Styela clava: one gene and its partner. The protein of the gene in region 1 interacts with the protein of each later gene in a pairwise test. Links are inferred from orthologs where the notes say so. Each region holds a gene or a part of one and is shown in the gene's direction. Other genes may lie near its edges.

Region 1 (17,116 bases):
CGTCGTCAAAATGATGTCCAGAAATTTTGCAAACGCCGCAAAGGTAGTTACTAGAGTGTTATCTATGAGGAACCCATAGAGCGCGCAAGTTGATGTGATGTTCAAAAAAGTTTGATTGGTGTATATACATCGCAATTCATTTTCCAATTTACCCACGTTTATCATGGGGTAAAATTTGGAGACAGTAGCCAACAAATGGATGGGAAATTGACGTGCAAATTTTGAAAAATTTTTGGGGTTCATCAAAGAGAACGCGGCAAGGTGTTCAGTGCGCAGACGATCGCCTATTTGATTCACCAGAATGTCACAGCATTCCTTTGCAGACAAAATCAAACGCTGCGTTGTTTGCTCGCGGCGTAAAGAAGCACTCCATGTGTCGTCGTATTTTATTGTTTCCCGGATACGAGATACAGCATCGCAGAAGTCTGAAATACACGACTGCACAGACGCTCCATCCATTAGCCTTGACTGCAATGCGCCGTATAATACATCCACGTGATAGAATATTGTGGAGAAAAAATGAAAACTCACCATCTTCTAGCAGACGCTTTAGACCTGCCGCCTCCCTCACAGAGCGTTCGTCCCAAACCGGAGAGCTCTGAATGCCATTGAAATACTCAATGAGCTCAGACCTAATTTCGGACACGCCCTGCACTACGCGTGATTGGAAGTTCCAACGTGTTGGTGCACAAGCTGGGAGACGGCGGCTACATATCTGGCGAAGGAGGTCATAGCGCTTCGGCGAAACGGAAAAAAAAATGAAGAAAACCCCGAAACATTTGCAAAAAATATACGGACGAGAGGGGTATCAAGACACATATTTTTAATAACGAGGTTAAATTGGTGTGCATAACAATGTAAAAAATGCGCATGAGGAAAATCTTCTTTTATATAAACTTGAACACCATGTTTCGACCCACTCATGACTGCCGCGCCGTCATAAGTTTGAGCTATCAATTTTGACTTCGCGTTGTAAGGCTGTAACACTTCTTTCAGTACAGCCGATATCCCGCAAGCCGTGCAATCAACGATTGGTACAAAGCTGTGAAATCACTCGGTAGGTTTACCATCTTTCACAAACCGAAAAATCACAGCCAGTTGGGAAACGCACGTGATGTCAGTTGTCTCGTCAGACTGAATCTAAAGGAACTGGCAATTCTCAATTTCCAGAGCCAAATGTTGTAAATAAATTTTATACATTGAGTCGAGCAAATCATTTTGGATATCCTTAGATGTCCCTTTCGAAACAGTTGCGGCATCAAGATGATCTATCAATACTGTATCTAGGAATGCGATGTATTCCACCATATCCAAAAATACCCCTCTATTAGAAGAGCCAGCCCGTTCATCGTGCCCACGGAGGGACAGCTCGTGACAACCAATGAACTTCAAAACATCTATCAATCGACCGAGAACATGGCGGTTTTTCTCGACGTTTTGGTTGTGCCGACGAATAGAAACCGCGCGTCCTTCATCCAACTGTGCTGCAATATTAACATTTCCGAATGTTCGGTATTTTACTGCATTGTCCAGATGCTCCATAGTAGATTGATGATCCCTGGCATGCTCGGAAAGATGTTTAAGATCTCTAAAACCAAATTTACACCAACGTGAGTCACGGGCGGTAGCAAAAAGTAGGCAATAAAAACAAAAAAGTGCATTTTTGTCCTCGCTGTAACACAACCATTCGTGTTTTTTATACCAAGTTTCTGCGCAGAATGTACGCCGACGCTTTCCTCCGTCATGGGATTGTTCCAGTGAACAATTTTTTGGTTGATAAGGCCCAAGACGTTGTACCTCTAATTTTTGTTCCAGCGGCAGCTGCGAAAACGGAGTCCGAAAGGAGCTCAAAAGGAATGTGGAAAATCGAAAGCAAATGGACTAAAGGTCTCTAACTGATTCAAATAGCGAAACAAGCGACAAAAACGAAGGCGAGGAAACTATCAACTCTTCAAGCAACCAATGAACGAGAAGGAATGCGTGAATATGTCAACACGTTGTTGTAAGAAACGTCGGCATTGTGTTGTCTTAATTTCGGGGCTAGCCCCGATCGGCCCCGATGATTTAGTAAAAGAAACAGAAAACAAACGAGACAAACGCGGCGAGTGGAAGATAAAAGAGAGAATACGATATACAATGAGCAACCGGGGCAAAATCGGCGTCGCCCCGTCGACGTTCGGCGAAGGCTTTGCGAGCGAAAAATGAACCATGTCGGGAGAATATGGCTAGTGTAGACAGTCTGTGCAACCGATATTGAGGTATTTTTCGAATATTTTTTATTATACCGAAAAAACAACCGGGGCATTGCCCCGGTTAGCCCTATTGACGCGCCGCCACTGCCAATTACTAACTTCTTTTAAGTCGGTTGAATCGGTGGAGGAAGAAAATTCGATTACATCCGAGGTTGGATCAATCCTGTTGTCATGCGGAGTATGTCCAAGAATGGTCGATTCAGGTTGTAAATCCATTTGATCGACTGGTATATCCGGGTTTGTAGTGTAGGTTGTACGGCGCGGTTTCTTGGAAGCAAAATGCTCAATAACGCGCTGATTAAAGTCATGCATCCCAGAAATAACGTCTCTGTGAATGGATAAAACAGCCAAGGAATTTAATCTATCTTGCTTCATTGTGTTTTTGAGATACATTTTAATACGCTTCAGCGTGCTGAATGTTCGCTCTGCGTCGGCGGAAGAAATAGGCGTCGTCAAAATGATGTCCAGAAATTTTGCAAACGCCGCAAAGGTAGTTACTAGAGTGTTATCTATGAGGAACCCATAGAGCGCGCAAGTTGATGTGATGTTCAAAAAAGTTTGATTGGTGTATATACATCGCAATTCATTTTCCAATTTACCCACGTTTATCATGGGGTAAAATTTGGAGACAGTAGCCAACAAATGGATGGGAAATTGACGTGCAAATTTTGAAAAATTTTTGGGGTTCATCAAAGAGAACGCGGCAAGGTGTTCAGTGCGCAGACGATCGCCTATTTGATTCACCAGAATGTCACAGCATTCCTTTGCAGACAAAATCAAACGCTGCGTTGTTTGCTCGCGGCGTAAAGAAGCACTCCATGTGTCGTCGTATTTTATTGTTTCCCGGATACGAGATACAGCATCGCAGAAGTCTGAAATACACGACTGCACAGACGCTCCATCCATTAGCCTTGACTGCAATGCGCCGTATAATACATCCACGTGATAGAATATTGTGGAGAAAAAATGAAAACTCACCATCTTCTAGCAGACGCTTTAGACCTGCCGCCTCCCTCACAGAGCGTTCGTCCCAAACCGGAGAGCTCTGAATGCCATTGAAATACTCAATGAGCTCAGACCTAATTTCGGACACGCCCTGCACTACGCGTGATTGGAAGTTCCAACGTGTTGGTGCACAAGCTGGGAGACGGCGGCTACATATCTGGCGAAGGAGGTCATAGCGCTTCGGCGAAACGGAAAAAAAAATGAAGAAAACCCCGAAACATTTGCAAAAAATATACGGACGAGAGGGGTATCAAGACACATATTTTTAATAACGAGGTTAAATTGGTGTGCATAACAATGTAAAAAATGCGCATGAGGAAAATCTTCTTTTATATAAACTTGAACACCATGTTTCGACCCACTCATGACTGCCGCGCCGTCATAAGTTTGAGCTATCAATTTTGACTTCGCGTTGTAAGGCTGTAACACTTCTTTCAGTACAGCCGATATCCCGCAAGCCGTGCAATCAACGATTGGTACAAAGCTGTGAAATCACTCGGTAGGTTTACCATCTTTCACAAACCGAAAAATCACAGCCAGTTGGGAAACGCACGTGATGTCAGTTGTCTCGTCAGACTGAATCTAAAGGAACTGGCAATTCTCAATTTCCAGAGCCAAATGTTGTAAATAAATTTTATACATTGAGTCGAGCAAATCATTTTGGATTCCTTAGATGTCCCTTTCGAAACAGTTGCGGCATCAAGATGATCTATCAATACTGTATCTAGGAATGCGATGTATTCCACCATATCCAAAAATACCCCTCTATTAGAAGAGCCAGCCCGTTCATCGTGCCCACGGAGGGACAGCTCGTGACAACCAATGAACTTCAAAACATCTATCAATCGACCGAGAACATGGCGGTTTTTCTCGACGTTTTGGTTGTGCCGACGAATAGAAACCGCGCGTCCTTCATCCAACTGTGCTGCAATATTAACATTTCCGAATGTTCGGTATTTTACTGCATTGTCCAGATGCTCCATAGTAGATTGATGATCCCTGGCATGCTCGGAAAGATGTTTAAGATCTCTAAAACCAAATTTACACCAACGTGAGTCACGGGCGGTAGCAAAAAGTAGGCAATAAAAACAAAAAAGTGCATTTTTGTCCTCGCTGTAACACAACCATTCGTGTTTTTTATACCAAGTTTCTGCGCAGAATGTACGCCGACGCTTTCCTCCGTCATGGGATTGTTCCAGTGAACAATTTTTTGGTTGATAAGGCCCAAGACGTTGTACCTCTAATTTTTGTTCCAGCGGCAGCTGCGAAAACGGAGTCCGAAAGGAGCTCAAAAGGAATGTGGAAAATCGAAAGCAAATGGACTAAAGGTCTCTAACTGATTCAAATAGCGAAACAAGCGACAAAAACGAAGGCGAGGAAACTATCAACTCTTCAAGCAACCAATGAACGAGAAGGAATGCGTGAATATGTCAACACGTTGTTGTAAGAAACGTCGGCATTGTGTTGTCTTAATTTCGGGGCTAGCCCCGATCGGCCCCGATGATTTAGTAAAAGAAACAGAAAACAAACGAGACAAACGCGGCGAGTGGAAGATAAAAGAGAGAATACGATATACAATGAGCAACCGGGGCAAAATCGGCGTCGCCCCGTCGACGTTCGGCGAAGGCTTTGCGAGCGAAAAATGAACCATGTCGGGAGAATATGGCTAGTGTAGACAGTCTGTGCAACCGATATTGAGGTATTTTTCGAATATTTTTTATTATACCGAAAAAACAACCGGGGCATTGCCCCGGTTAGCCCTATTGACGCGCCGCCACTGCCAATTACTAACTTCTTTTAAGTCGGTTGAATCGGTGGAGGAAGAAAATTCGATTACATCCGAGGTTGGATCAATCCTGTTGTCATGCGGAGTATGTCCAAGAATGGTCGATTCAGGTTGTAAATCCATTTGATCGACTGGTATATCCGGGTTTGTAGTGTAGGTTGTACGGCATTTTGGTTGACTTGTAATTCCGAAACTTGTCCAGATTGTGTAGCATTTTGTAAATCCGAATTTAGTCCAGGTTGTGAAGCGCTTTGTAAATCCGAAATTGGTCCAGGTTGTGAGGCATTTTGTAAATCCGATACTGTTGCAGGTTGTGAAATATTTATTTGATTACTTGGTTGTTCCAAATGAGGTGGGTTTTCTGATAGCTGTTTTCGACGTCGTGGAAGGGTCCATGTAGAGCAGGAAATCGATGGAAATTCTTTTCTTCTGGATGGACAATCTTCTAGAAGATGACCCAGCTGTTTGCAGTAGCGACAGACTGGTTCGCTTTCGCATTCGGTGAAGTTGTGACCGGATTTCAAACACCTACCACAGGTTGGCACGTATAATTCCCTGGGCAGGTAAGTTTTGCAGCTTTTCCCGTCGATGACCAAGTAATCTGGTAACCTGTCCTTTTTGAAATTTTCAATAAAAAAGGAAGTGTATCCGTTATAAATGGACGTACCTCTGTACCAGTTTCTGGTGGCATTCCGGACTTTTCCGCACTGCAGTCGTTCGATTGTCGACACGGCCTTGCTGTAGGAAGTTTCACCCGGTATCCCCCGAATGGATATTCGGACTGGTGCTTCGGTTGGCAGCGATACCGTAACAGCGTCTGAAACTCTTATTTCACCCTTTGTGTCGTGCAAGAATTGCTCGCCACAGCTAGAGTTGGGGTCGTCGGTGGCGGCAAAAGTACATATCCACTGACCTTTTCTTCCCTCAAACAGTCCCGTGATGTTGTCGACGTAGTTTCGGGACGCTGAGTCGGTCTTGAGGATGTCGAACAGTCGAGGGAAGTCCAGGTCTTTGGTGGTTGTCAGGAACAGAGTGCGAGGTCGTGTAGTCGGTGCAGTTGTTTCTTCGCTTGTAGGTGTAGGCGTTGTTGAGGCGGCTTCGGCGTAGTTCATCTTCTTCTTCCTTTTCTTCTTGCTTCGTTGCTGTCGAGGGCCTAACCCGGTGAGGGGTTGCCTTAATCAAAACAGCAACAAACAACGGGTGACTTGCAAGTTCTGAGACAATCTACGAAATAGCAATATACGGTAACATCACATTCATCTAACAACCATTTATGCTATAATGGCAGCCATGCCTTTATCCAACGCAGCAACCGTTGTTTTCTTTTAGACCGGAATTCCTTTCATTATCTGAACGTTGAAAATTGTCGTAATTAACCAAGATTGTCGTCATGGGTATTGAAAAGTTTAGTTCATTTGTGTCATCATAGTCAAATTTATTTTGTAGTAGCAATGAATGATGCTCTTCTTTTCATTCTAATTATTAGGGTGAAAGTATTTATTTTTGCAAAAATAGTCTTGTTTTCTTGTAGTTTTTTCCTTGCATGAGAAAATTGGTAGGCCACAGAATTTTTACGCAACGAAAGTGCGCCACGAAAGAAAAAAGGTTGAGAACTACTGGACTCTAGTTGGATTGCGTGGGGGTTTGAATCACTGTACAAGGATTCTTTGAATGATATTTTATTTGTCGTACCTTTTCCAGTATTTCAACCGCGTCGCGCCGAAACCTATTTTTTCAAGAGATTTCTTTGTTCACATGTGAAATTCGTGACTTCTCCATATTTGAAGATTGACCCGTTGTGGGCGCTGAAAGATTATGAACTCTTCAAAAAGTAGGTCGATTGATTTATACGGATTTCGTAATAAAACTAGTGTATTAGCAGACCGTTCCATTTCCCATTAACCGTATTCCCTGAGTAAAACAGCAAATATTTGAGCTACCAATTATGGTGATTGATTACCATTTGCGATTCAGCCTACATTTAAATGGCCTGGCAAATGATGTGGATAAGTGTCAATGAAGATTTCAAACACTTTTGTCATCATTTACACTCACTGAAGCTATACATTTGTTTCATATTCAAATATTCCCATAATAATAGGTCACGAATGCCGTCAACCTTATAAGCTTGTTTCGTCGACACAAGCTTCAATCATCTCATTGGCATACTTGAGCCGTAAAACCTGAGAGTTTGCATAATCACACGCAGACGAGGTTTGGCGTGACGGTCGGACTGAGAGCGGGGGTAAAACAAGGTTAGTTTGGTTACGAAGTAGTAGCCTGTAGGTTGGTGAATCGAGGATAGGTAAGTTGAGGGAGCTGGACAGTGGGTCGAGGATGGAAAGCTTGCGGGAGATAGGGTAGTGGGTTAAGGAGAGGATGATAGGTAGTGGGTCAAGGATAGAGAGGTTGAGGGGGAGATAGGACAGTGAGTCGAGAATAGAAAGGTCGATGTACATACGGATTGGGTCGAGGATAGTAAGGTGAGAGAAGCAGGACAGTGTGTTAGTCGGGGATAGACAGGTTGAGGGAGGAAGGGCAGTGGGCATAGCATAGGAAGTTTGAGGGAGATGGGGCGTTGGGTCAAGGAGAGGAAGATAGGTAGTGGGTCGAGGATAGTAAGGTGAGAGAAACAAGACAGTGCGTTAGTCGGGGATAGGGAGGTTGAGAAAAAAGCGTAGTGGGTCGAGAACTAAGGTTTAGGGAGATAGGACAGGGGGTCAAAGATAGAACAGCGGGGCGAGGACAAGAAGGTTGAGGGAGAGAAGACAGCGGGTGGAGGATAGGAAGGTTGAAGGAGATAGGCAGTGGGCCGAGTATAGAAAAGTTGAGGGTGATAATCTAGTGGAGAGAATGGTGAGACGAGGTTAGGAAGATTGAGGAATATATAGGGCAGTGGGTCGAGAATAGAAAGGTTGCAATTTCTGCGGTCGCTCAGACACTTCTGTCAATCAGACAGATATTCAAGTAAGGTTGTAAACATTGCTTCGTTTTCGTAGTTCCCCTGGGGATCTTTAGTTGCAGTTGTCATGAATAAGGCTCGCAGACAGCGGTGGGATCTAGCCGGTTCGCACCGGTTCTATAGAACCGCCTTACGGAATTTCATGAGATCAGCGAACCGGTTAGCATTACTGGTTACACTCAATGACTTTTTGTAATAGAACCGGGAAGAAATATGATTTTTGTGGTGGAACCGGGTGACAAAAAAATTGATCACCCACTGCTCGCAGGGGGCTGCCGAAGTATGCGAACCAAGATGGCGGACATCGGAATGTAATATGTGTACTAGGTTAGGGTTAGGCCATAATTTTAGGTATAAATACTACGGGAGGCTCTTGGCTAGTCTTCGAACTGATAATAGGACTAAAATAAGGAAAATTGGAAAAAAATTATGGCCTAACCCTAACCTGTTACCCATATTACGTTCCGATGTCCGCCATCTTGGTACGAATACTTCGAGAGCACCGCTCGCAGACTATGCGGTAGAGACTAGGCTAAAATTAGCTATTAAGATTTGTGAACGGATGATTCTGATACAAAATTTGGTTTCAAAAATGTAAACCAGTTTATAAGATCTAAAGCTCTCAAAATTTATTTTGCGAAAGTATGAAGATAAATTTTCTGGGGCCGAAGTTTGGGGATACATCCATACGTTATCATTATATTATTTTCCATGCTTATTTTGAAAGGGTTTTCAAGTTCCGGCGTGTGCCGACAGGTTGAGCGCTTCAAAAATACCATTATATTTAAAATGAATCAGACAGCTGTTGTTAAATAGTAATGACAACTGATGTCAGCGTCGTCTATTCTGGCCATTCATTTTATTTATACTTATATTTTGGAAATATAATCAAAACCTGAAACTACATAAACGAGAATATCTATCGGAGACCAAAGACTTATCGATCGAAAGTTAGGGGATTCCCCCAAAACAGAAACTGCATTTTTGATTCATCCGCTCTTACTCCATAGTGACACCGTGTGTCCGATAACTAATTAATTATTTACTCGTCAATTATACGACATAATTCACCCAAAATCAATAGGCTTCTGATCCAAGATAAGATGAATGCACATGCAAAATTTGAAGCAGATTCAACCTATCTTCCGTGTGATATCGCGTGTATCTAACAGACAGACAAACAAACAAACGAGAATATCGGTCGGAGACCGAAGACTTATCGTTCGAAACTGCGTTTTCGATTCATGACCGAATAGTGACACCGCGTGTCCCATCACTAATTAATTATTAACTCGCTAATTATACGCCATAATTCATCCAATATCAATAAGCTTCTGGTCCGAGATATGATGAATGTGCATGCAAAATTTGAAGCAGATTCAACTTCGCCTTCGTGAGATATAGCGTGCATCTAACAGACAAACGTACAAATACCTATCAACATACTTACCGATCTTAAGGTCGATAAGTAACAAGGCAAGGTTTACAATCGCGCTTGAAGATCTATCTAAGTAAAAAAAAGTGCCTGGTCTGCTGGATAAATTTCATTTGTAACGTGGTGACGAACTTTAATATGAAAATATGCCATTTTTAGGGGAAAACACAACTCGAGGAAAGCGTATGTGGACGTGCCGTAAATATAATACATTTTCACGAATTAATTGCGTTCTGGTTGTTACGATTTTTCCAGCTCAACACTTGCAGTAACCTCTACTATACAAGTTCATTGAAAAATAATAAAGATACTTGTCATAGCATTGTCATATTCGTCGATAACGGAGCGAAACAAATATTCTTTTCATGTCGATGTTCAAAACTTGGTTGTTTGTATGTAACAATGAAAATGCCATATTCATTTTGGATGAGCGAACACGTAATACTTCTTTTATCAATACCTTTCCAACTGAAATATGTACGCTTCGAACCTTACATAAGGTTTTGTTTGCTCTCCCGATTCTATAATCAGCTATTTCCTTTTTTGTTTTTATTTATTATTTTATCGTCTACTGCTTCTTATGGAGTCGAAATAAACTCGAGATCTGTGTCCACAGAATCAACCTCAATAAAAAATAGTTCGGTCGTAGTGGGCGGTGTTTAGTACGTTATATTGGGAGGTGCACCTGCCGTCTGCAGTTCCAGACTCCAGTTCCTCGCGATTCAGGGCCCGATTTATTCTTGTTTTTGCCAAGTTGGCACCTGTTATGCCCTGTTTTGTAGTCTATTTCTCCCAAATTCCAATAGATAATCGATTTAAAGGTAATATTGGCTTTGTTTATAGCGCCGGTATAATAAAAAGGCTGAGACGTAAGGTTAAATAGTAGACTAAATTGACTATCGCCGTGAGCATCAGCCTTGGCTTAGTTCTGTCTGTCTCAATTCTGCACTTACGGTACTGTACCACACCCTGACACTGACCGTAACTAACTGGGCAATTCTTTGTTTTTCAGATTGTTAACTGGGTAGTGTACGGTAATAGGACGTTGCTACTTTATTACAACTGGACTCTGGATCTCTTTTTAACGTTTCTTCATAGTGCCGTACTGTGCTGGAAGAGAAAAAAACATATTGGATATTGGAACATAGAATTTTTTTGAACATTTTAAAATCGAAATGTCAATGAATTCCGATGACTCCGAGGACAGGCCCCCAGCACCACCTGTCCGACATGCCAGTGCCGCTCATGGAAAAGGAGATTTTGCAAGTCAATCTACAACGAAACCTCTCCCGTCCCTTCCAGAAGATAAAAAGAAGAAAAATAAGCTAAAGAGTATTTTTGTAGGTGAAGATAAAAGTAAGTTTCCATTGTTTACCCCAGTTTGTGTTTTTGCTGTTTCGCTCAATTACAGAATTATTTGCGAGTGCATTCTATTTCTTTTGTTTTATGCTTTAAGGTTATGCTTGGCCTCTACAATTCACCATCTCCAATGTTCAGGAGCTTTTCAAAATAAACTATCAATCTACCTCAAACTTTGACTGTTATTTTGTTTTGCTTTCGAATTAACACTTCTGTGCACTAACATTATACAGTGATAAGTTTCATGAAATGTCAATTTCTATGTGTATAGATTGATCCATGTTGTGCAATAAACTTCATTACGCATGTTGTTTTGTAAATTGGACTAAACTTGTATCTCTGTATACGATACGCTCGTGTTATGTTGGGTATTTCAATGATTTAGCCTAGTCAAGATGAAATATCATCATATTTGATATCTATAATACATTGGTATTATCTTTTATATACTTATCATTTGTATCATCTTTAAACATTTAAACACATTTTTCGATGCCTATTTATCAAACTTTTAATAATTTAGATCGGAAACGAGACCGTGAACGACCAGAAATATCATATCCTCAAGATTTTGAACATACAGTGCATGTCGGTTTCGATGCAGTAACAGGAGAATTTACTGTAAGTTGAAGTCAATGTTGTGAGATCATGATCGCAGCTGTTTTCGAGATATTCAAATCTATTAATCTATAACAGGCAATGTACCCTCTAATTTTTTATAGTATGTGTGCGCAGAAATTTTGGTGTGTGCGCACTTTTTTGGAAATGACCAATATTTGTGCAAAAACCTATGAAGAAATTTTGGCGTTCTAACCGGATAATGGGTAAGCCAACAACAAACTCAACCTGCCAACCGAGAACATTGTTACATTATATCGAAATACGTCTGTGCGCAGTAAATCTATGCATGTGCGCAGCCTCTGAAAGCTGTGTGCGCGCGCACACGCTCACACCTTAGAGGGAACACTGATAACATGGGGTAGGCAAGATTTTGGGACCATGGACCAAATATTTTGCCCACCTAGACAAAAAGGGAAAACAATTATCCTTGTACCAAAACTAAATTTATTCGCAATCTCAACAAATCTCTGGAGCTATTTTAGCTAAAACATCAAAATTTGGTTTAAGTTTGGCTGTGGCATCCTCAGACGGATCCAACGGACCTGATTTGGCCTACGGATCATAGTTTGCCCAAGTCTGATCTATAATGTTCGATGTAGCGTGATACCAAGATGTAAAAATAAGAAAATTTGAAGCTAATCTTAGCAAAATGGGCATCAAATTCTTTACTTTTTATCATTTTCACATCATTCCACACTGGGAATGCTTGAAATTTTATTTTCTCCAGTTCACCAAATGTTGCCTATGTATTACTACCATGGATAGCGATTTGTGGCTATAACTAGAGTTATTGACTTGACTTTTTGGCTTGAGTGGAAAGTTCTAAGGCAGACATTTTCACTGCTGATACGAAGTACATAAAGCTCAAGTCTGTACTTCAACCATTGTGTTATGCTCATCTACCGTATATTCCAATATGGTATATATCTAAGCCAATACCCCTAAAAACGGCCCTAAAACATGGATTGATAAAAATTAACATATTATCAACCTTACAAATTGTTACATGCTACTCATCACTGCAAATGGTTGCTTTAGTGCGATTAAAGTTACGTGTGTAACAAGCCAAATTTTTAGTGCGCGAAAGGTATGCGCGTATAAGCCAAACTCCCTAGTTAGTTTCGGCTTTTTTTTTAGTTTAAAACTCTGCTTATATACAAGGATGTACGGTAAGTAGACAAGATGAAGTTTCGTTCTGTTGTATTTCTGAAGCCTGAGAGGATTTTAACCGTTGATGCCAAATTCAGGATAATCTTAATGACATTCACAGTGTTATTTGTAATTTTTTCTTTCCAGGGAATGCCTGAACAATGGTCAAGATTATTAAAAACATCAAATATCAGCAAAACAGAACAAAAGAAGAATCCACAGCTGGTTCTCAAGGTATTCAAATTTCGGAATTCTCAATCTTCTTTGAAAACTTTTTATATTTAACATAATTTAACTTAACTTTATAATGTTGATTTCTCAATACTTTATATTGTAAGAGCGTACTCAAATTGGAAATCCCAATCAATTGTGTATGTTTTCAAAACTGTTAAGAGCATGAACATTATTTTAAATTTCAAAAACCAGTGAACAATAATATAAGAAAGCCTCAAGCCTGGCGGTTTCACATTGTTTTTGGCACATCTGGATTATTCACTGTTAAAGGATTTCAATGATTTGCTTAACTGCTCATCTGTTACGAATTCCTCCATCTTCAAGTCTATGTATCTGGAACAAATTAATGATTAACCGTTACCATACCCGACATGTACTGGTAGCCAGATGAGATTCACCGTTTTTCTCCTGTGAAATAAAAGTGAAATATTCTAATATATTCAAGTCATTTGTTGCCAATTTGTTGTAGTAATGTAGGTTTCTTTAAAACACACAATTTTTGTTCTATAGTCGCCCAATTTGTATGGAATTTAACACTTGTTTCAACTTATTTTCAGGTTTTACAATTTTATGACATGACAGAAAAAAAGAAAGGAGGTGGAAATAAATATATGAAAATGACAAAGAATAGTTCGTTCGAATCATCTGCAGTATTAAAGGTTTGTATTATGGTTTAGTTTTTAAAAAAAATTTAAACAAATTTAATTTTTTATCTGATAAAGATAAACAGTGGTCGGCGAAGTTTTTTAGGTGAGGCGAATTATTGGGGAAAAATTTATATTTTTGTGTACCTCTGCCATAATTTATTAGCCGTCCACCAGAAAATGCTGGCTGGCTTACGTTAGAGTTGATGAAACTAATTAAAGTTTTGATGATAAAGTATTTTTGATCCAATAAATTTGCCACATTGAAAAAAATGGGTATGATTTTCCACATTTATGCAATGATGATTTATGTCATTCTGTTGCTATGCTAGCATGATATCGCCTTGGTCTTACACAGGGATGGCCATTTCCGAATACTAAACTATTCCGAATACATTCTAAAATAATGTTTTCGAATCTGGAATTCCGAATACATTCTAAAATCGAAAATAACACACTTTTTTTAAGTTTATTAAAACCCAATAAAATAGGGAATAAACTTCAAAAGTTATACCAGAATAAAGCCACAAACCAACAGTATATCTACACAAATTAATTGATAGTTTATAGCTATCAATAAAAATAATAGCATCTTGTGACACAGTCAGTTTATTAAAATTGTACACTTAGTATAAATGACCATATGGAAAGGTAGCCAAGGAGTTGTCTGACGCTTTCTATCATTGGTACCATGATATTATGATGATAGTCAAGTTTATTGACAGAAATACTATTTGTATTCAGATGATTGTGTATATTTTCTGAGAGTAGTAAAATGCATTAGCAATACAGGCAACTGAAACAAGCAACAACAATCTAATATCCATTATGCCTTTACAAATTCTAATATTTAAGCCTACCAGTATTCTACTACCTACCAGTATATTTGTATATTAATTCATGTGAACCATATTGTTATTATGTGTAGCATATCGTTATATCTGGAATTAGCAATAAGTTAGGATGTAACAGCCACCGCATTCCCCGCATATGTTAAAAATACATATCGCGCGATTAAAAAACCGACTTTTACAACGAATAATATAACAACGAATACTGTATATATTTTTCTGTTGTGCAAAGTGATGAATTCGTGACCGATACGGGCATATTTAAAATGTCTTGCTTTATTAATTTAATTGCTTTCAATTTAACCTGCGGTTGCGTCGACAAAATAAAATCCTCACCACTCTAATTTACCATGACAATCGCGGACATAAAAATAAAAATGTGTGGTAAACTGCCCGATTATATATTGTTTTGATCCGTATTTTGCGAATTCGGCAAATTTGAAATGTGTAACACTGACTCCGCTCAATCGAAATGCCGCCACTCCGATTATTTTTAAGATAAAACCGTTCGAAAAATCCATAAATCTGCCGTAAAATCTCAGACTAAAATTTATTTCAGCACAATAAAAATTGATTGAATATTCTTTAGATTAAATGTATTATTATATACATTCTCACAATACGGTAAAAGTCGCGTTTCAAACCTTGTATAATGTTAACACAAAAATTTTCGACGGCAATTTAATTAAAGTAATGGGTAATCAGGCAAATCCCGCCTTCAATTAGTGATGATATGTTTCTAAACGCGGACCAAACATATCTTGGAAATTTTGCGATTTCCACCGCCTAGAAAAGCGTTTTTTAAACTGTCGCGGGCTTCAATGAAACACATTTTGTTTACGGTTTTATTTTCAGTATTTTAAATTGCCGCTTTTCAATATTTGCGTTTTCTTTAGAAACTAGCCGCCGATGAACGTATTCACCGGATTCACAATTCCGCGCGAGTACAAAAATAGATAATTGTCATCGTTATCGTGGAACAAATTTGTGGAATACTTGCGTTTTAGAGAAAATAACACAAGCGTAAAGGCGTTTACGGCCTGAATAATACGTCTCCTGATAAAGCAATCGCGAGCAAGTTTCTATCGAGAATGTTTTCATTTAACGGAAACGTCTTGAGAGCGGCGTCGAAAATGTGTGACGTCACACGAAAATCCGATATTCTTATAAACGCTAATTCCGATATTCGAATGACGAGATATTCGAATACATTCGAATACTTTATTCGAATTGGCCATCCCTGGTCTTACAAATATTAAATTCCATAAATTCAGTATTATATGAATTCCAGGCCTTTTATGCAATTACTTGTGACATAGAGAGCCTTGTCATGTCATCCAAAATGTGAAATTTTTCCCCCATGCCTTATTTTCACAATTTGCCACACGTCTTGTACGTCCTCTTGAAAAATCTCGTTATATGTCGGTATTACAATCAGTGTCAGTGATATTTCTCCTGTATTACTGTTCTATGTGGGATCTCACTGTTTGTTTAACATTCCCATCACCTAAGGTTGTGGTATGATTCATCTTGTTGTGACTGTGCTATAAAACATGACATTTTAATTTCTTTTCCTTCTATGGTATTAATTAAGACAGCTTATGCATATGCAAGACAATGGCCTTTCTTTCCTCTGGTTATTTCAAAGGTTGCAAAACAAAATGGCTAAAGTTGACATTCATTGGAAATGTTATTTGCATGAAGTATAGGGTGTCTGAAAAGTTATTTAAAATTGCAAAGGGAATTTATCGATACCATATATTGTTTTGACCCTCAAAGATGTATTAAATGAAGTAAACATACTTGCACAATTACTGAATAAAAAACAACAAACCTGGACAAGATATATTGAAAATTGACTTTATAACAAAATTGAAATTGTAGAGAGACTTTATTATAAAGAACTAGGTGCTGTTAAAGCTGGTATCTCATTTACCACAGTATTTCAATAAAATGTTACAGTTTAAAAAATCGTTCTCCTGACAAATTCAAAAAAAGGGCCTTTATAAACCTATTTTAAAACACCATTTCCAGGTTTAGCTCTTTTGGGTCAAAGCCCTTAATTTGTCTTAATGAAATATTAACTTGACATCGATCGATGCAAATTAGCTTTCCGATTTTTGCATATCAACTGTTCTTAAAATTTTGAATCTAATCAGTGGTTATATGTTTAGTTTCACAACACTGTTTAGTATAAGGAAGTTAATCGAATTTGCTGCTACTCCTGTGTTTCCTGTTAATTTGTGTCCATATATTTTTGGATTTTAGTTTGAACATTTGTTTAATTAGTTATATTCCAATAGTGACAGTATTTCCAAATTTATTATGTAATTCTAAATTATACAAAATGCCAACACAGACATTTAGAAGACATACTATGGAAATGTTCTGATATTTGTTAAATAAATAATCGAATGTAATTCAAAAATCTCAGCAAAATGATGTCCAGGCATGCATGTCATGCGAAATCAACTTTTTATTCAATCATTGGTCAACCATTTGGCTCCAAGGTTGGTGCATCTTTTTAAAAATTGGGATTGCCATTAAATGAGAGATTGCTCTGCTAGGTATAACCCTTCTAGATTCCTCATCGTATCAACGTGGTTTATTACTTATCGATCTTGAGGTATTTGTCTGTTTGTTTTCGTGGGAGGATGAATCTGCTTCAAATTTTGCATGTGCATTCACATCCATCATATCTCGGACCAGAGGCTTCTTGATTTTGGATGAATTATGCCGTGTAATTAATTAGTGGTGGGACACTTGGTGAGTCAGAGCGAAAGAATCAAAACCGCAGATTGATAAGTCGGCGGCCTTC
Region 2 (17,278 bases), on another chromosome or scaffold:
TCATGGTGTGGGTCCAGTCACAGCTCTGGAAATTCTGAAGGAGTTTGAAGGGGAAGACATTCAAGGATTGGTTCATTTGAAAAAGTGGTGGGATGAGACTTGTCAACGAGTAAGTTCTCTCTTTGTGTTAGTAAAAACAACAGAAATCCCTGCCACAAGTATGTTAAATTTGGCATCAATCATTGCTGATTTATTTTAAAGTCTTTGTGAAAAGTTGTTGCACGGCGGCGGCAAGGGACTAAATTAAAATGTTGATTGAAAAATGCAGAGCAATTATATTGTCAATTGTCGTCAATTGCTGTTTTTTTCAATTGTAGCAAAGTTCTGTCATGAAATATAGATTTTTTTCCTATATACTAACCACTGCATCAATGGTCTAATGGGTTGTTTCCGTCTTTCTGTGTGCCCGGTTTTATTTAAATGTTATTGAGTGGTCTGAGCACATTGCGGGTCTGCGATAATCTGGAGGCTTTGGGGCCAACAATCTTTAGGCAGTTGCATCCAACAACTTCATATATTTCATGAATTAGCTAAAAAAATCTTATTCCCAACAGGAAATTAGTCTATCCATCAAATATTTAACGAACGTTTCTGACTGACTGGTTCACAAGCTGACTCATTATGTGCTTTATATTTTACAGGTAACACAAGTGCTTCCCACAGAAACCAAGATAAAGAGTCAGTTGCGCAGGATTAATTTGAACAAAAATTTTCCATCAGAAGCAGTTTATAAGGCATATACACAACCAATTGTTGATGATGCTAGCACTAAATTTGAATGGGGGTTTCCAGATTTGGATGAGCTTCGTAATTTTGCTGTCAACACAATGGGATGGACACGGTATGGTAGTAATGACTTGTTATCCCTTTGCCTCTGATTGTTCTAATATTAATTTTCAAATTTTTCAAGACTCAAGGCAGATGAAACTTTGCTTCCTTTAATGAAGAAATTGGGGCAGCGCCGATCAGCTCAATTAAAAGTTACACAATTTTTTACCCCTGTATCCAATCTAACTACAAACAAAGCGAAAAGCAAGAGAGTACGAAGAGCAGTTGCATCTCTTAAAGGCAATGCTGAAATTGTTCAAGAAAGTTCAAGAAGTAAAAAAAAGGCTCGAATGACCAAGGGAAAGAAAAAGCCTGCTGTTAAAGAGGAGAAATTAAATTTGTCTGAATCTTCATCTGACAGTGAATAAAGTAACCTGAAAATGAAGCAATCTTTACTTTTGCACGAACTGTATGCTTTTACATTCGACGTAAATTTCAATCATACATGTTACAGGTTTGATGTTCAAATACAACACAAATGAACCCTATAAACGTTGTCATATAGTAAACTATAAGTTTCTGTTGGGCGTCGCACCATGCAATAGGAGTATGCTTGCCATCGAACCTCTGATTACGTTGCATGGATTTGTAGGTCCGAATCATATGAAGATGATTATCTGCGAGATGATTGCTGGACTAGTCTGTTACCGTACTGTTCCTTCGTCATCCTGTATCATCTCGTTAACTAATCCCTTACCCGACATGAACTGCCAACCAGACGAGGGGCCGTGGTAGGCACGCCTTTTATTTAAACAGTGTTACCGACTTTCCTTGGAAGGAATGTGAAAATCCTATCCTAAACCAAAATCTAGGCTTTTTATAACCCGTTGCCAAGTGCCAGAAATTAGGCTATATGATTCAACATCACGAAGCAAATGACCGAATCATTATGTATGCAAGTGTGCGTGCAGACGAAACTCGGGAACGCTGAAAAATTTTCCTTAGTCTCATGGCGAATCGGGCGTTCCCGTGTGTTTAATCTGTGGCTATGAAATAGCGCAGACAGTTGACAAAGCCACAGGTGTTGCATCTGAGCAGATACATTTCGAATCTATCCTCACGCCCGATGTTGTTTCCCGATCCTAGATAATACCTTTATTTCAGCATGCAAGAATCATAAACATCTTGAAGATAAAGCGGTTTACATCATGATACCAGATTCCAGTTGACTGATAATCGAGAAGGACCCGAACTGGTTATCATAAGTCTGCGACAAAATAGAAATAAGTCTAATGAGAAATAAAAAATATAGACTCAAAAGTGATCTTAAACTTTCTAAAAATATAACAATGAAGTATGAACAGTTCCTGGAATATTGAAAATATATCTTTCGATATAATTTAAAAATAAAAAATCTAAATAGAAAATAAAACTGTCGAGTACAAAAAATTGAGACACGCATTTTTCGGAATATTAAATAAATCAAGATTACACTCATGAAAAGATATGATAAAATACTTTCGCCTAAGATCATTTGTTGTGCTTGAATTTGCCACATGATAAAACCATGCAAGGTTCGCCCAACAATACTCGAACACACCCGAGTTATTGCAACATTCTGATGTGCTTTTCTACGATTATGAAGAACTTATATCAAACGATTCTCTATTTTTCATTAAATTGTCTGATGGAATTAGCCAATTCTTTAGAGAAAGATTGTACGAATGATAATGTATAATCTTAGCGTTTATATTTGTTATCTAACTTTAGGTAGGAATTGCGAGTGCAAAAGTTTGAGGTGATCTTTAAATTTCAGATACAATGTCTAAAATAATTGAGTGACGAAACTAGGACAACATATTAGATAGATTTTACTTCGATTCATTTGCAAAAATAGAACAATAGGCCTAAAGTTAATTCGAAGAATCTGAGAAGTGAACGAACTCTGAAAATAAAAGTAAAACATCCACACACGAAGAAGAAAGAAAATTACAACATGGTGGTTTAGTATTCAGGCGTCTCAATTTGTGATCAGATTGCGTGTCATTTACTCACTTACAAAACAGTTAACTAAAAGCCGCTGTGCACGTGATAAGTCAAGGCGGCGTGTATACGAACGAGAAAATTATTTATAGATTAAAATATGCAAGCATTTAACGCCGTTTCGTTCTTAAATATCACAAAACTATGGGCGATTATCGACATATCCAATAAAAATGCCCACACAAAAATGTGTATACCCAGCCCACTGAAGTGACCCAGCCCCATTTAGAAGAGTTGTCCAAGCTTAATTTCGAACAACCTTATCTTCTGGCTTGCATGCAGTCATTTGGTTAAAATATCATATATTTTTGCATCCCCATTGTGCTCTTCTAGTTCTGCGGTCAAAAATTCGCTAATTCTGTAATCCGTTGTTTGTTTTCAATCACGGAAGCCGCGATTTCTTCTTGTACACGAACGAATCTTCAGCTCGCATCAATCGCGTCCGCATCGAAACGCAGTTCCTTAGATAGGTCCATTCACTGTCAAAAAGAGTTTATATCGTGAGGCTTTGCTATACTATTGGATTTGGAGGTTGCGGCAAAGTTATTTTTTATTATTAATATTTGTTCATGGCTTGAGTAAACATGGGTCAGTGACGGTTTCCTCCAGCACTATTTCCACTATTCTGCTATTGGTACGGTGCCGTGGTTTATGATTATCTGATTAGGAGGCAGGGGTTTTCGTCACGTGATTGAGTCGTCTTTCCTTGGTAATAAATATAAAAAATGAATTGTCGTAACCAAATTTTGAGTCTAACATTTTGGACAGAACAATTGACTTTCGTTGTCAAAGTTTAAAGAAAGGGTACCGGTAAGTGGAGGTGCGCTGGTAAGCGGCACAAAATGTCTGAGGACCTAAAGTGTAATTAGTTCTGATGGGCATCAGTACCGTAACGGCCGAATTGATGGATTGGTTTACTGTTCTTTAATGCTCATACTAGTTCACTTTCCCGGTTCCAAACAGAAACAGGTTCCACAATACAGTAATATTACTGTATTAATTAGCAAATATGTTTACCTAATTGTTTTTAAAATGTGTTTGATATATTTGAGTTCAAGTGACGAATAGTTGCATACTGAAAGGACGAATACTTTACTTCTCTTTTTCAGCTCAGCATTCAAATGCTAATAAATCTTGAGCCCAATTCTGTATAACCTTGTATAAAGCCTTCTTGTGGTATTTCAAATAGATACTTGCAGACTTGTATTGCTGTATTCAGGTATTGTAGGGCTTGAGAAATTAATTATTCGAATACATTTCAATTCTCTATACGGTATGCTTCCAGGCTGTCCAGGCTAAAAGATCAAAAATAGGGATCCCTGTCATGCAGGTTTTAGTAATCTGTTGATGTGCAGGAACTACTGAACTAATGAGTCTTGTTACTGTGTTAGCAGTGTTCACCTGTTTCTATTCATTAGCGATTACCATATAAAAATCCACATTTAACAATTTTAAATATTCATCTAGTGATGTATGTTTCTCGTGAATGTCAGAATGTTGTTCTTTTGAGTATATTTAACTAGACCTACTTATTGGCTAAGATTTATGTCATTTTTATGTTATGCTTTTAAAATGTTTGCTTATTAAACAGGTATATACAAATTGGTTCTCATGTAGTTTTGTACTTTCGTACCTACTTCTAGAGGGCGTAGCATAACAATTTTTTGTCAATCCTAACCCCCACCTGACGCCATCCAAAAATTACGTCACTACGACATCACAGTGACGTAATAGAGCCTTTCAAACTATACGAACTGCCAACCAAGACAAGCACCAGAAAACGAACAGCTATTTCTCTCGTTTTCTCATTGCAACGATCCCAATAGGAGAGAAATCAATGACGTCAGTCAGTCTTTTATCGTTGGCGCTGATGCCATTTTGGGCGAACGTACGTATGTTCGACAAGCTCTATGACGTGATTGTGACATTGTAATGACATAATTTTTGGATGGCTTAGTCAGATGGGGGTTAGGATTGACATATCAAAAAATTATTGTGCTACGCCCACTAGAAGTAAGTTAGGTACAAAACTACACGAGTCCCAACAAATTGACTTTTTTGATCGAATTTTTACTAGAAATCTGGAAATGCACTCATGCCAGTAATCACATTAGTACAAAAGAGTGAAATTAAAATTTCTGCTTTGAATTTTTAAGGTCTTCGATGTAGGTTTTATGTAGTTGTATATGTTTTGGCACTGAGTGCATTAAGGCAACATTAAACACATGCATTATGAGTGCTCCAAATGAAGATATGGTAATTGCATTATATGACTATCAGGCAAAAGATCAAGAAGAACTGAGCATTAGAAAAAATGAACAACTCACCCTTCTGGATAACACTGGACCCTGGTACAAGGTGGGATTTTTAGATTTGTATGAAATGGGCACATTGTATCCATGTGTCCGTTTTTGATAAATTTTCTATTCATGATCATTGACTGAAAGCACCAAAAAGCCTTGTGTTGTTGATGTGATCGATCATTCTTTTTTAAAACAGGGTTGAAGACGTCAATTTTATTATAATCACTGACTAACTGCCGTAATATGTCAGAATGCTGAGTTGCGATATTTCTTTATCACTCAGCTATATGCTAATATTAATTTTTACAGCAATCTTTTGATTATTCGCTATGTGAAATAAGAAACATCTAATTCACCTCTATAACTGTTGGGCATGATCCGAGTCCACATTCAAAAATTGAGATGAATGTAATGTAGTTCTGAAAAGTGTTCCATTGCTTGTCGTGACTGAGTTTTTTATTTCACTTTTCAGGTCCGAAATAAGATGATGACTGTTGGACTAGTACCATCAAACTATGTAAAATGCAAAGGAGAATCTTTCGTCAATAGAATAGGTACATTTATTTTTTACTTTTCATTGTTCATTGTCAAACATATTCTGTCTCCCAGTTGTGTCAAGTTGATTAATTATAATCAAAAACAATTAAATAGCTTTCAAATGCGGCCATTCCATAGAAACCTGCAATTTGACTAATACTGTTAATATTATATTAGAATATATGTATTGAAATATCATAAGCCAGCATTTTTTGTATTGCTTATGTGATGCTTTATTTTTATTAAAAACCATTATTTTCCAAAATTACCAATACTAACATAACATATCCATACTTATCTCAGAAATAATTGATGCTCTTATCTACCAATTTTCTGTGTTTAGATGTATAAACAAGATAAGTATTAATTGAATATATTATTGATTTTAAGGATAGTGTATAAAGATAAATCAATAGATATATCAGATAGGTTTACCCCATATGACTTAGTATTACTTGGACTACAACGCAATTCCGCCAGTCACAAAACATATTATTCATCTGAAATATATTTGATAGAATGCAGAGAAAAGGGTTTTAAATCCTACTATTATCATAACATTTCACTGACTAACAAAATTCATATCAATTTTTAAATATAGTCTAACTGTAGAATGAGGTCTTTCTGAAAAATAATAACCTGTCATAATTCATTAGCTTTTTATATGTTAGTTATTCACTAAAATAGAATATATACCAGTCATGGTTGAACTTTTCAAACCAATTAAAATCAATATAAATTAAATTGTCACCATCAAAATTTCTTGAGAAAAGTAATTTTATATTATTAGATTGGTTGGTAGTGTGTGTGTGCGTGTCTGCCAATTGATCAAGCACTGAGAGATCACAAGTTATGCGTCAGAAGCAATCTCGATCAACTATTTATTTCGTATCAGTATTTATTGTTTATTTTAGCAGACTAGTATGCAGGCGTTTATTGAAAGGACAGGACAAATTAGTAATTTGTTAGGCTGATTTAATAAATAAATTTATTGTATCTAGAAAAATCTTGACTAGTGAGAGTGACTAGATAACATTTTTTCTGCTTTACTGAAGGATCTATTATGTTATTACTGCAATCATATTGCAATATTTAGATTGTGTACAATTTCAGATAATCGTAACTCTATCAGTTTTTCAGTAGTACGCACTTATGGTATCATGCATATACCCTCATGCATCACAACTATCGACATATTCAAAAAACTGTCTAACCTGACTGAATTGTATAAGCAACAAGTTGAATGCTTTTATAGATGATAAAAAGAGACATATTGCAGTTTATTCTGTTATTTTGCTTTCTATTTTCCACCATGTCTCTTCAAAATAATAGGCGTTCGTCACTTCGACATGACACATTTCAATAAAGATAACTCATTATAAAATGACACCATGCAATTTCTTCTCAATACTCCTTTTTAGTCTAAAACCGGTTTATAGGTGACTCAGTTTCTGACTAATTGACCGTCTCAAGCAGTACAGCCTTCCAATATTACTTCCTTTGCTTTGTGATATCGCAGTGACATATACCGGACATTGTTCAGAGACTATTAGAATTGCTATTGCAGGAACGTTCAACTATTAGTATTAAATTAAATAGCCTAGATTTCCTCAAAGGCAGCTCAGCAGCATCTTAATTTATAGAACCATTTCAGCTAGACATTGTAGTGTGCTGTTCATTTTGTTGATTGATTTTTTCAAAAAAAATAATGAGGATAAAGCTAGACTAGAAGTGGAGATTTTCAAAATCGTAGTGTATGAAAATGATGCCAGTTTGATCAAATTTTGAGCATATGGGCCTTTTTAGGTAATGTGAGATTTTTCCAAGTTCATAAGCTCTTTTTCATTTTATATGAAATATATTGTACTTCATAATTTTATATTTTTATGGGTACTTATATGAAACAGTACTTACCGGTATATAACAAGCGGTCAACTCATCTTGGATCATAGAAACACAAACTGAGAATGTTTAATGCCATATTCATGTTATGTTTGGCAATTATACAGAACCTTCTGTAACTATCGTACTTGAATGTGATACGGGCTTGTCTAAAGCTATTTCTTTTCCGTTTTTGTGGAGGGCCTAAATGGACCAAATCTTTAGTTTCAAGTTTGCCGGGCTATTATTTAAGTTTAGAGGATTTATAGGCAGATTTGTTAGGATTGATAGAACTATTGAAATTGTGCAAAATCTATATATGAATTGTATGATTATTCCAGGTTATGACAGATGTGCAGATTTATAGCGCAATATTTAACTAATGAACAATCCATTGTTAAGGTTTAATTAATAGCATAAGCAAATTTATATGAATACACCAATAAGAATACATGGTGCATGTTCACTGTGAAGATTCCAATTTGTATTGACACTATTTTAGTACTCTGTTTGGCCATGACATCTATAACACAACAAATACCCATAAAATGAATATAGCTATATGAAATATTAACAATTAATCAATTGAATTCAGTTAAACATAGCATAATATAGAGATATAGTTTACTACTTTCAGGTGCAATTTGTTTTATGCTCCAAATTGATTTGCCAAACATGAAAAATCTGGTTTGAAATGGCCCACTTTCTGTCTGAACAATTGTTATTGTATTATTTTCTTGTTTGCTTTTGTTAGTATAAAATGCGCTAAGCTTTTGTCATATTTGGATTAAACCATCAGAATTATATATTAAATTGTATTATTGTCAACACAATCACTTGGACATTATATCATAAGAAGATAGAAGAATGTCTTTTATTCATAAATTTGGTGAGTACAATTATTTAAATTTGAAAATTAAGCCAAGGTCTCAGAATCCACTGCCAGGTTCACAGATGAGGTCATTTAGAAAGACATGTTTGAGTGTAAACAGCTTTGTGATATTTTCAAGGAAAAATCAAATAGGCGCTGTTTTAAATATATAGATGTTCAACTACTGATGATGATTCAATAAAATAGATAGTCGTTATTCAAGTTAGTGGAAAACTTCCTGATACTAAGCTTTAGAAATTACAGATGGTTGGTATCATTGAAAATTGTATTTTGGATTTATTCCGAATTCGATAAATTAGTTGTAAAGGGTTTTTTTGAAAATAAATTATTATTGAAGGAATATATTAGCCAGGAAATTTTATCGATAGAAGCCAACTCCAATGCTTCCAGACGTGAAATCAATCAAAATAAATATTTAATACTTTTTGATTTTTCAACTTTAATATCGACAAATGTATTTAAAGTAATGCCGGTTATAATTAAAAACTATTATTTAAAATCATTAGAATTGTTGTGTGTTTACAATCGTATCCCTTTTACGCTCGCGTTTCTCCGTACGGTCTCTAGTTCCGTTTTAGCATGGCCCCAATTTTTCTAATATATCTTGTTAAATGTATAAACCTATTTATTAGATGGCGCCTGTTCTCGACGCTAAAATTTTCACAATGCTGAAAGCTTCTCACGTTTATTGCATGTGGAAGATTAGTCACAAATGTATTCCGCTGTAAATAGCACTTATTTTATTGTCCATATTCAGCCGTGTGTTATTCAATGGACATTCGCAGACAAGCCTAATCTTTATTAGTAAAAGCAAAACCGAATGTTGTACGCGAGCAATAAAATTTAACGAAAATTAGCGATCCGGAAATGTATGTTTATTGTCTTGAATGGCAATTTAACAGTGAGAATGTAGCAATTAGTCTTTCACTTCGTAGTACTTTCCAACATGTAGGGCTGGTGAGCAAGACAATAAAATGGCAAATGTTTGCGTATTGGAGCATATCACCTCAGGCGTGTTGGTATATTTCAAATTCAGAATAGGAGTTAATTGAAGATTTCTCGATGTTCTTTGTAAGTTTCTGTGGAAATTAGCAATCAGGCGGACATCTATTCAGACATTAGGATAAGGTGACATGGAGCAAAATAAAAATAGCAATAATTCCTGAGTAAAGTTCAAAGTCTCCTAATAAATTCTCTTGTTTTCTCTGGATTTCAAGGATAGGGAAGATACCCTAAGCAAACTAATATCAGACATTTATGTTCTATATTTAGCACGTGTCGCGATTAGTATCGAGGAGGACGTTCTGTGTGGTTATGGAATTGTTTGTAGAACGTGGTTTCGTCTTTCGGAATTTTTTATATTGTCGTTTCGATAACAATTGAATTAACTGCACATTATTTCAAAAGCTAAATATTTACCGTACATGTAATTCCGATGAATCGAATGTGAAAAAAATATATTTGAAACAGTAATGTAATTTTAAATTTTCATGTCTACGGTATTAAATATTCTACATGCGAATTAATTACATTTCTATACTTAATGTATTTTATTTCTTATGGTGAGTTCATTTGCATATGGATAAATATACATAATCATCAGTATTTTAAACTTTAGCTTTTGAAATTATCTTTCACGAGATCTTCTTAGGCGGAGATAAGCGTTAAAGTATAGGGATTGATCTTTTCGCTCCTGGGCGACTACTATGTGAATATTAATGCCATTGGGGGGTTTCATTTGTCTGTGTGGATATGATTGTCAGACGGACATGGCGACGATGAGCCTTATGGACGCTCCTTGCAAGATTATTCTCGGGGTGTCCCGACTTCCGAGCTGTCACCTAGCAGCTGCACATTGTACTCTTGCTGGTAGACGCAAAATACCCCTGGAAAAACGCACCGCTGACTGTCGACTAAGAAATTCAAGAAGGTATAAGCATCATAGAAGGAAAGCAAAAGGTATGATGGTGGTCGTTTTGAGCGGTGTGATAGCCTACTTGAAGATTTCCATGTTCATTTTGTGAAACGGCGTTTATACAACTGGCCATTGTACCATGACTTCTGATTCTGGTTGAGTGGACGAATCAAAGTTTACTTGGAGTAATTTCAATGGATTTTATAGAAGGAAATGTTTCTTATATCATATTCTATCGTCGTGTGGTGCTTATTTTTTGACGGGGCGATGAAATATAGTTTACGCCAAACCTAAAGGATAGTCCGTGATCTTCAGCTTATTTTCAAATAAAATGACGCCTTAGATTTTTTTAGTAACAACGCAACGAAGTTCTGTTCCCGATCTATATCAGTTTAGTCGTTGTCGTAATTTATCGCAGAATATGCGACAAGTTATATATTTCAATTCGCGGTTGGATTCGTCTGGTCATATTGCGAAACTGCAATATATGGCATTCACGTTAGTTTCCTTTTCCAACGTTGATATTGTTTTCCCCGAGATACAATGTAAAAACAAATTGCCTAACAAACATTGCCAAGTAGTTTACTTAGGCCTGGAATTTATGTCTGAGTCATCCTTTCATATGTTACTAAGGAGCCTCTACAATACAATATGCAGAAAAGGCGAACATCATTGTCGATTTTTCTTTGGGCTTCCTGGATCCCAGTAATATATACATTGTGTATGTTGAGGTATGGCATAAGAGGAACGGTGGTCCACGGTCGCTTAGTGTTCATTGATAGTATGGTTAAGAGGATTGAGTTTTTTCATGGCCAAATCGTCTATTCTTAAACTTGGCCAGACAGAGATTTTTTACAGCAATTCAATTATTCTCATAACACTGAGCTGGTCACCGGAGACTGCTAGCTGAAGCCGTCGTTGTAGATTGTGTTTATGTTGAGAATTTGCTAATGTGTTTGAGCGCACCTTTGGCGCGCAAGCAAAATGTAACTGAATTCGTTGCTCAACTATTAAAGGATTTTACAAACTTTTTTCGCGGACTTGTACTCACCGAGATAAGATTCTAGATGGAGCGGAGTTTTATTTTAAATGTAAAGCGTTATATTGCCACACCTACAATATAGTACACAGCAGTATAAGCAAAACTTTTGTCTCAATGTCGGTAATATCCAACTCATTTACTTACTATTTAAATAAGGGATTGTAACGGAATTACTTCAGGCTCCGACACGCAGACACATCAAACAACTTCAGCAAACAAACTTATATTTATTGCAGAAATATTTGTTCAATCATAAACACTCTATTTCCCATGTCGTTCATGAGTTGGTGCGCATTTGTCGGATATCAGAATGAAATGACAATAACTTGAGATTGTTATAACCCGATGTTTGGGATAACAAGGCTACTTACTCCCTTCATTTCAGATTTTATTCCCGATTTTAATTTCCTATTAATATATAGAAACTGGAGCCGCATCCGCGTGGATGGGCATTGAATATTCTTAAGATTTATTTGAAATGCATGAATCCTGCGTAGTCCGGTCCGCAGAAAGCCAGTTGCAATGTATTGAATTAGAGTGCATTTTATACTATTCGTGTGAAATTCGTCTTTTAATAATAAACAACAGGTTGCCAACCAAACCATACCGGTCTCATATACGCTCCTTGCGCATTATACGGAGTCATACAAAGTTGAGTTATTTTTCGAACGTGCGAATTCTGTAGATAAATCGAATGTCAAGCAATTACAGCCCGAGGCGCGTCGTTGAATCTCATCACATTACTTATTCTCGAAAATATGCAAGTTCTTATGCTTCAATACCATTAATGTGTCTGTATCATATCAAAATCGATTCATTTCAGCACGCTTATTAAAATTATTCAGTCGATTCGATGTCATATATGTGTAATTCGTTTGGCTATCAACTAAGTGGTTTTCGTTTCATTGCTTTTACATACCCTTTTGTTTTGGTAATAAAGTCGCTCTGTTTTTTTAGTCTGTATTGTTGCCAAATTCCATCCCGTTTTGTAACATTCAGAAACGATAGTATAGTGAAGAAGTCTTGCTTCTGCTTTTTCGAACCCGCCCGATATTTCGCCTAAATTTTTAATCAAATAACAAATTGAAATTAATCATTTCGTTTTCCATACTTTTATAGTATTCATTAGATATAAGTGCGTCAATTCCAAACACTTTATTATACACCAAAAATTAAAACAATGATTTAACAGACATCTTTCGAAATAAATTATTAATGTTTGAGAATGTGATTTACCAGCCAGATCGAAGAAGTTCTACTTTTGAAAATGAAGCTGAAATGCTAATTAATTTCTGATATGATTTGCTAGCCAAACGTTTGTTGTCGGTATAGTTCAATGGTTGTGGTCATGTAGCGTAAGGTGATCACAAATCCGACCAAATATGATCTCCGAGAGCAATTTGATATGTCCGCCGTTTCATGTTTCTCAAGCCTGAATTGTATCGGTATTGGTGTCGTAAGTATGAAAAGAATAGAAAATGTATAACGTAGACGCTAGGGACGCGTCCTAATTACTTCTGTCACGTGGGACCGCTAGAGATGTCTTACAACAGCGTTTAAGATTAAATTTCATGCTTGGCCAGATGTGGCCCAGGACAAGATATAAATTGCAATACAGTAGTATCGTGTTATTGCACGACTTTTGATTTGTAAATATTTGTCTACATCTAATTTTGAACTGTTGCCATGTACGTCACTACTACATAAAGGCATTAGTATCTGGCATGTATACGCCGAAGCCTTTTTCTGGCTGACATTGCCACATACTATTCACAATGTGTCACCGACCTGCATCAAGCTGGAACAAGTACGAGGGTTGTGAAATCAAAATCGACGAATATGGTTGTCCACCATCGCAATGCATTGTTGCATTGCGCTCAATTATTCTAATTGCCCTGAATTGCGGCACGCGAGCTTGTAATCGCGCTATGTTGATTAACGCAATAATATTATAATATTAGAATAAAAGTGAATTTTAACGTGTCTTACGAAAACGATTTTTTTTTTCAATATCATTCATGACCATGGCGAAGTGCAAGACGTTATGAGTGGGGCTTTCATCCTCCATCGCTCTGGAAAGTCCGTCAATTCAGTCTAATGCTTCCACTTCATGATGTGTTTACGTACATATATATACACGGCGCCATCGAGTGAAGGCTGATGAGCGTGTGTCATGGTTTATACTTTATACACTAATAATGACGCTGATTAAATCAACAAAAAATATTGTACGATATATCTGTTGGCGATGTTTTGGCGTCATACTTGTCAAATTTGGGGTATCGATAATCAGAATATGACCAGCGAACGTAAATACTCTGAAACTATACTTAAGTTAATGCTCGTGTTGAAGTTGTACTATTATTGTGTCTTTTTGTCCTTATTTAGCATATAGAAGATGAAATCCTCCCATACTCGCGACCACGGTTTAGGCTATTTCTGCATCCTTTTTTGTGGCAGAGTTCTCTGAATTGCGGTGCCTTGTTCGGGTTATTATTTATATCGACTATGTCAATTTATAATCAACTTTTTGGTCGAGGAAGTACCGCATCATGCGTGCTATGATGCAACAATGCAACGCCTTCTTCCTGAAATATGACCTAATGATTCAGTGGCCCAATCTACAGGCTTTGGTAATGCTAGTAGCTACACTGTTAATTTGTGATGGGCGGCTTATCATTCGATATCTTAGCCCAGAAATAATTTCGTTGATACGATTCACTATCGTCGTACAGTTTGGGTCCGCAGTAATTGGTTTTTATGCTTCTGTTAGTGTAAAAACGACACATGTTTAGGCATATAGTCGTTAATTATTATTCATCATATTATTATATTGCTGTTTTGTTAATGAGGACAGATTCGTAAAGGGGTTACATTGATAAAACGAGGATAGACGTTGTTTCTCTTTGCTTCTTAGTATGACTATCAGACACCTATTATGTGGCTGTTTTGACAATTTTGTCTCGGCGGGTTGTTTTGACTGTCGATTTTACCAATATCATGAAACGTTATAAATATAAATAATAAATATGGAAACTTTCAATATAAATATTATCGATAATCTTACCGAGAGTAAATTGAAACAATACTATAAAAAAATCATTATTGAAATATATTTTGATTTTTCCTAAGTTTGATGATTTCATATTCTGACGCCAGTTATGTAGCGTTATAAATGTGTAGACATGATGTAATCAGTCGGCCATCGTAACTTAATATTTTGAAGTATCTGCGTATTGGTGTGATAATAATAACAATAATGGTATCTGGCTAGAACATTTAAACTTTGTTTGTATCGTTGTATATTGAAATTGAGATTTTCACTGTATTGTTATTAAGAAACGGTTGATTGATTCGCAAGCATTGTCAGAAATAATAAGCGCGAACAACAAAAGAGCCACTTTAACCCGCGTGGAACAATTATTGGTTTTAACGGCAAGCATCAATTTTTTTGCGCGCCTCTGTTTATGAATAAAAACAGGAAGCCATTAGACCTAACGACAGGTTTAGTAGGCTTATGAGATGTAAGGTGCATATTCGGATGTTACCTTTAGCCACTGCGCAATGCATATTTCTAACATCCTGAACTATGGTGATATTGGTTCCTTGAAACAATTGAATCGTATTTTAGTATGCATTGCTGTACTACAGCTGGTCATTTAAATTGTATTTTCCAAAATTGAGGTTAAAACATTGTGAAAGTCTTCCATAATATTTTATTTGATTGGTGGTTTCGTCAATAAAAATGTTCGCCTTTGTATCATTAGTTAGGAGCATTATTATACTATTGCCGAGGCTAGATTGCTTTTGTAAATTAAATTGGAGTGCTTGTATGATGTTTTATATATGTTACATGCGGTAATAGCCGGTTGTAAATAGACTTTTGAATGCCCCTATGCCCGTTGCTTTTACTCGATTCTTCAGAATTTTATATAAGATGCCCATTCAATGTACCATTACAGTAATTATTTTCCCTATTGCACTGGGCTTAAAATTAATGCGCATATCGATACCATTTCATGAAGGTTGTTGCTCATATAGCTTGATTGGGGTCATGCAAAGTCAGGGACTCTAATTTTCGATCGATAGGACTATTACACAGCGTTCGTTTTGCGGTTTTATAGTCTGTCTGAGACATATTAGATATGTTTTCCTATGACATAAAGTTTATTGATATGCATACTATATTATAGCGTAATTGGATGATTAAACATCTGTTTTCTCTTACGCCTAAGCATTTGCTATATGTAAATGGCATTTGAAGAACGGTTACCTAGCACCAGAGGATGAACAAAATAATTCCATTCATGCATAATTACATATTTGTGTTTAATTGAAGCCTGCTTTTTGGTTAACCCAATGGCAATGGTTTTATCATATATAAATGCTTAAACTGATTTGCAAACTTGAATTTGTATCCTATAATCAATGGCTTGAATGAAAAGATTTTCCATGCAAAGTTAATGGGAATTTTAAATGAATTAGAAATGCCAGTCCATGAAAACTATGTACAAACGATCATTGTTTGTTTACAAAATTTCATACCCTTGAATGCTACATATGCAATAGGCACTGCACACTGCTGCACTGCTGCTGCATAGATTAGACAGTACTAGACATCACCATTTGAACGTTTGTGAGTATTTTGGAATGAGGGATTTGTGAGCCATTGGCCCATCTTAAGGGTATTTTTTGGTAATGCGAGTACCCTTTAAATTAACCTTTCTGTCAATAATTAACATTTTGACATAAGCCCATTAATAAGTGTACACATATTAAATTCGACTAAATATTATTGCTATCGATTAATCTCAATATCTGATATGTTGTTCGATTTAGATATATGTATATTGGTGTTCATTTATAATGGTTTTATGAGCAATATTTGTGGAGTTAATTTGAGCAGATATTAGTGTAATTTAGGCTTTGTTGTTCTGTTTTTTTTAGATAAGGTATGGCCATATACATATAGCAGATTGCTTTGAATGTGTCCGTTGGCTGCTATTACTGAAACCTTATTGCAGATTTACTTCTCCTTATTCAGTATGTGATTCATAATAAAACCTGTGAACTATTAGCCCCATAATTATTATTGCATCACAATCCACCAAGAATCCTCAAATAGCATCCCCAATCTCTTTCAAAAACATAAGTACATGAAACAATGAATTGGAATATTTTGTAATACCCCTATAAAATGAATGTGGGAGGATTGGTAAATATGCTGTTCTAAAGTTCAAAGGGCCACAAAAAACAGAAAGGCATATATGAAATGTTTGCAATAGTATTCTACATACAGAATACAGATTATGCCTAAAATGTAAATTGAATCATATATAGAATATCCCACATAATATTAACATTGGCACAGCTGGTTTAACACTTAAGAAGCATGGTTATGTATTATAAACTTAAAAACTGCAAGTTTCATTTGTTAAATGTGGTGACCAAATACATATGTTGTTGGATACATATGTCTAAACTTAGCTTACTTGAATATATGAATATAATTTTTTGTTTTCAAATGTTGAAGGCTCATCACTTTAATTCTTTGGTATTACATTAAACCAGAATAATCCGGGAGTTCTCTGCTACTTTCTTCAAAAAAATTTTGTATCTAAGAGAGGAAAGTTTTTTCAATGCAAACATTCCTCCAACTTCACCTTTTGCTTTCTAATTTTTAATCTAATCTCATTGTTTCAGCAAATAGATTTCCTGGCACGAGAAAAGGAAAAGGTGGAGGAGCAGCACCAACTGGAAGTTCAGTGCCATCATCTCGTCCTCCCTTAGGGTTAAATAGCACAAATAATTCAGAAGGTGATGGAATAAGGAAATTTTCAAATACAGCGGTTCACGATAGAACAATGGACGAAACATATGTCGCTAAATATAACTAT

Evidence for each region.
Region 2: the proteins of serine/threonine-protein kinase PAK 2-like (region 1) and SH2/SH3 adapter protein NCK1-like interact in a two-hybrid assay, tested with the Caenorhabditis elegans proteins (2 studies listed by BioGRID). The link is inferred for Styela clava from reciprocal best matches to the Caenorhabditis elegans genes pak-1 and nck-1.

Annotation. Positions count from the first base shown.
Region 1 is NC_135257.1:19,372,383-19,389,498, forward strand, and holds the start of serine/threonine-protein kinase PAK 2-like, read left to right. Parts: upstream 1-10,453; 5' UTR 10,454-10,615; coding exon 10,616-10,796; intron 10,797-11,322; coding exon 11,323-11,420; intron 11,421-12,716; coding exon 12,717-12,803; intron 12,804-13,360; coding exon 13,361-13,462; intron 13,463-17,116. UniProt on the Caenorhabditis elegans protein: Required for hypodermal cell fusion, together with cdc-42 and ced-10, leading to embryonic body elongation, which involves dramatic cytoskeletal reorganization.
Region 2 is NC_135256.1:8,860,894-8,878,171, reverse strand, and holds the start of SH2/SH3 adapter protein NCK1-like, read left to right. Parts: upstream 1-10,052; 5' UTR 10,053-10,142; coding exon 10,143-10,383; intron 10,384-17,084; coding exon 17,085-17,278. Other genes in the region: DNA excision repair protein ERCC-5 homolog, read left to right, coding at 1-109, 642-841, 911-1,196.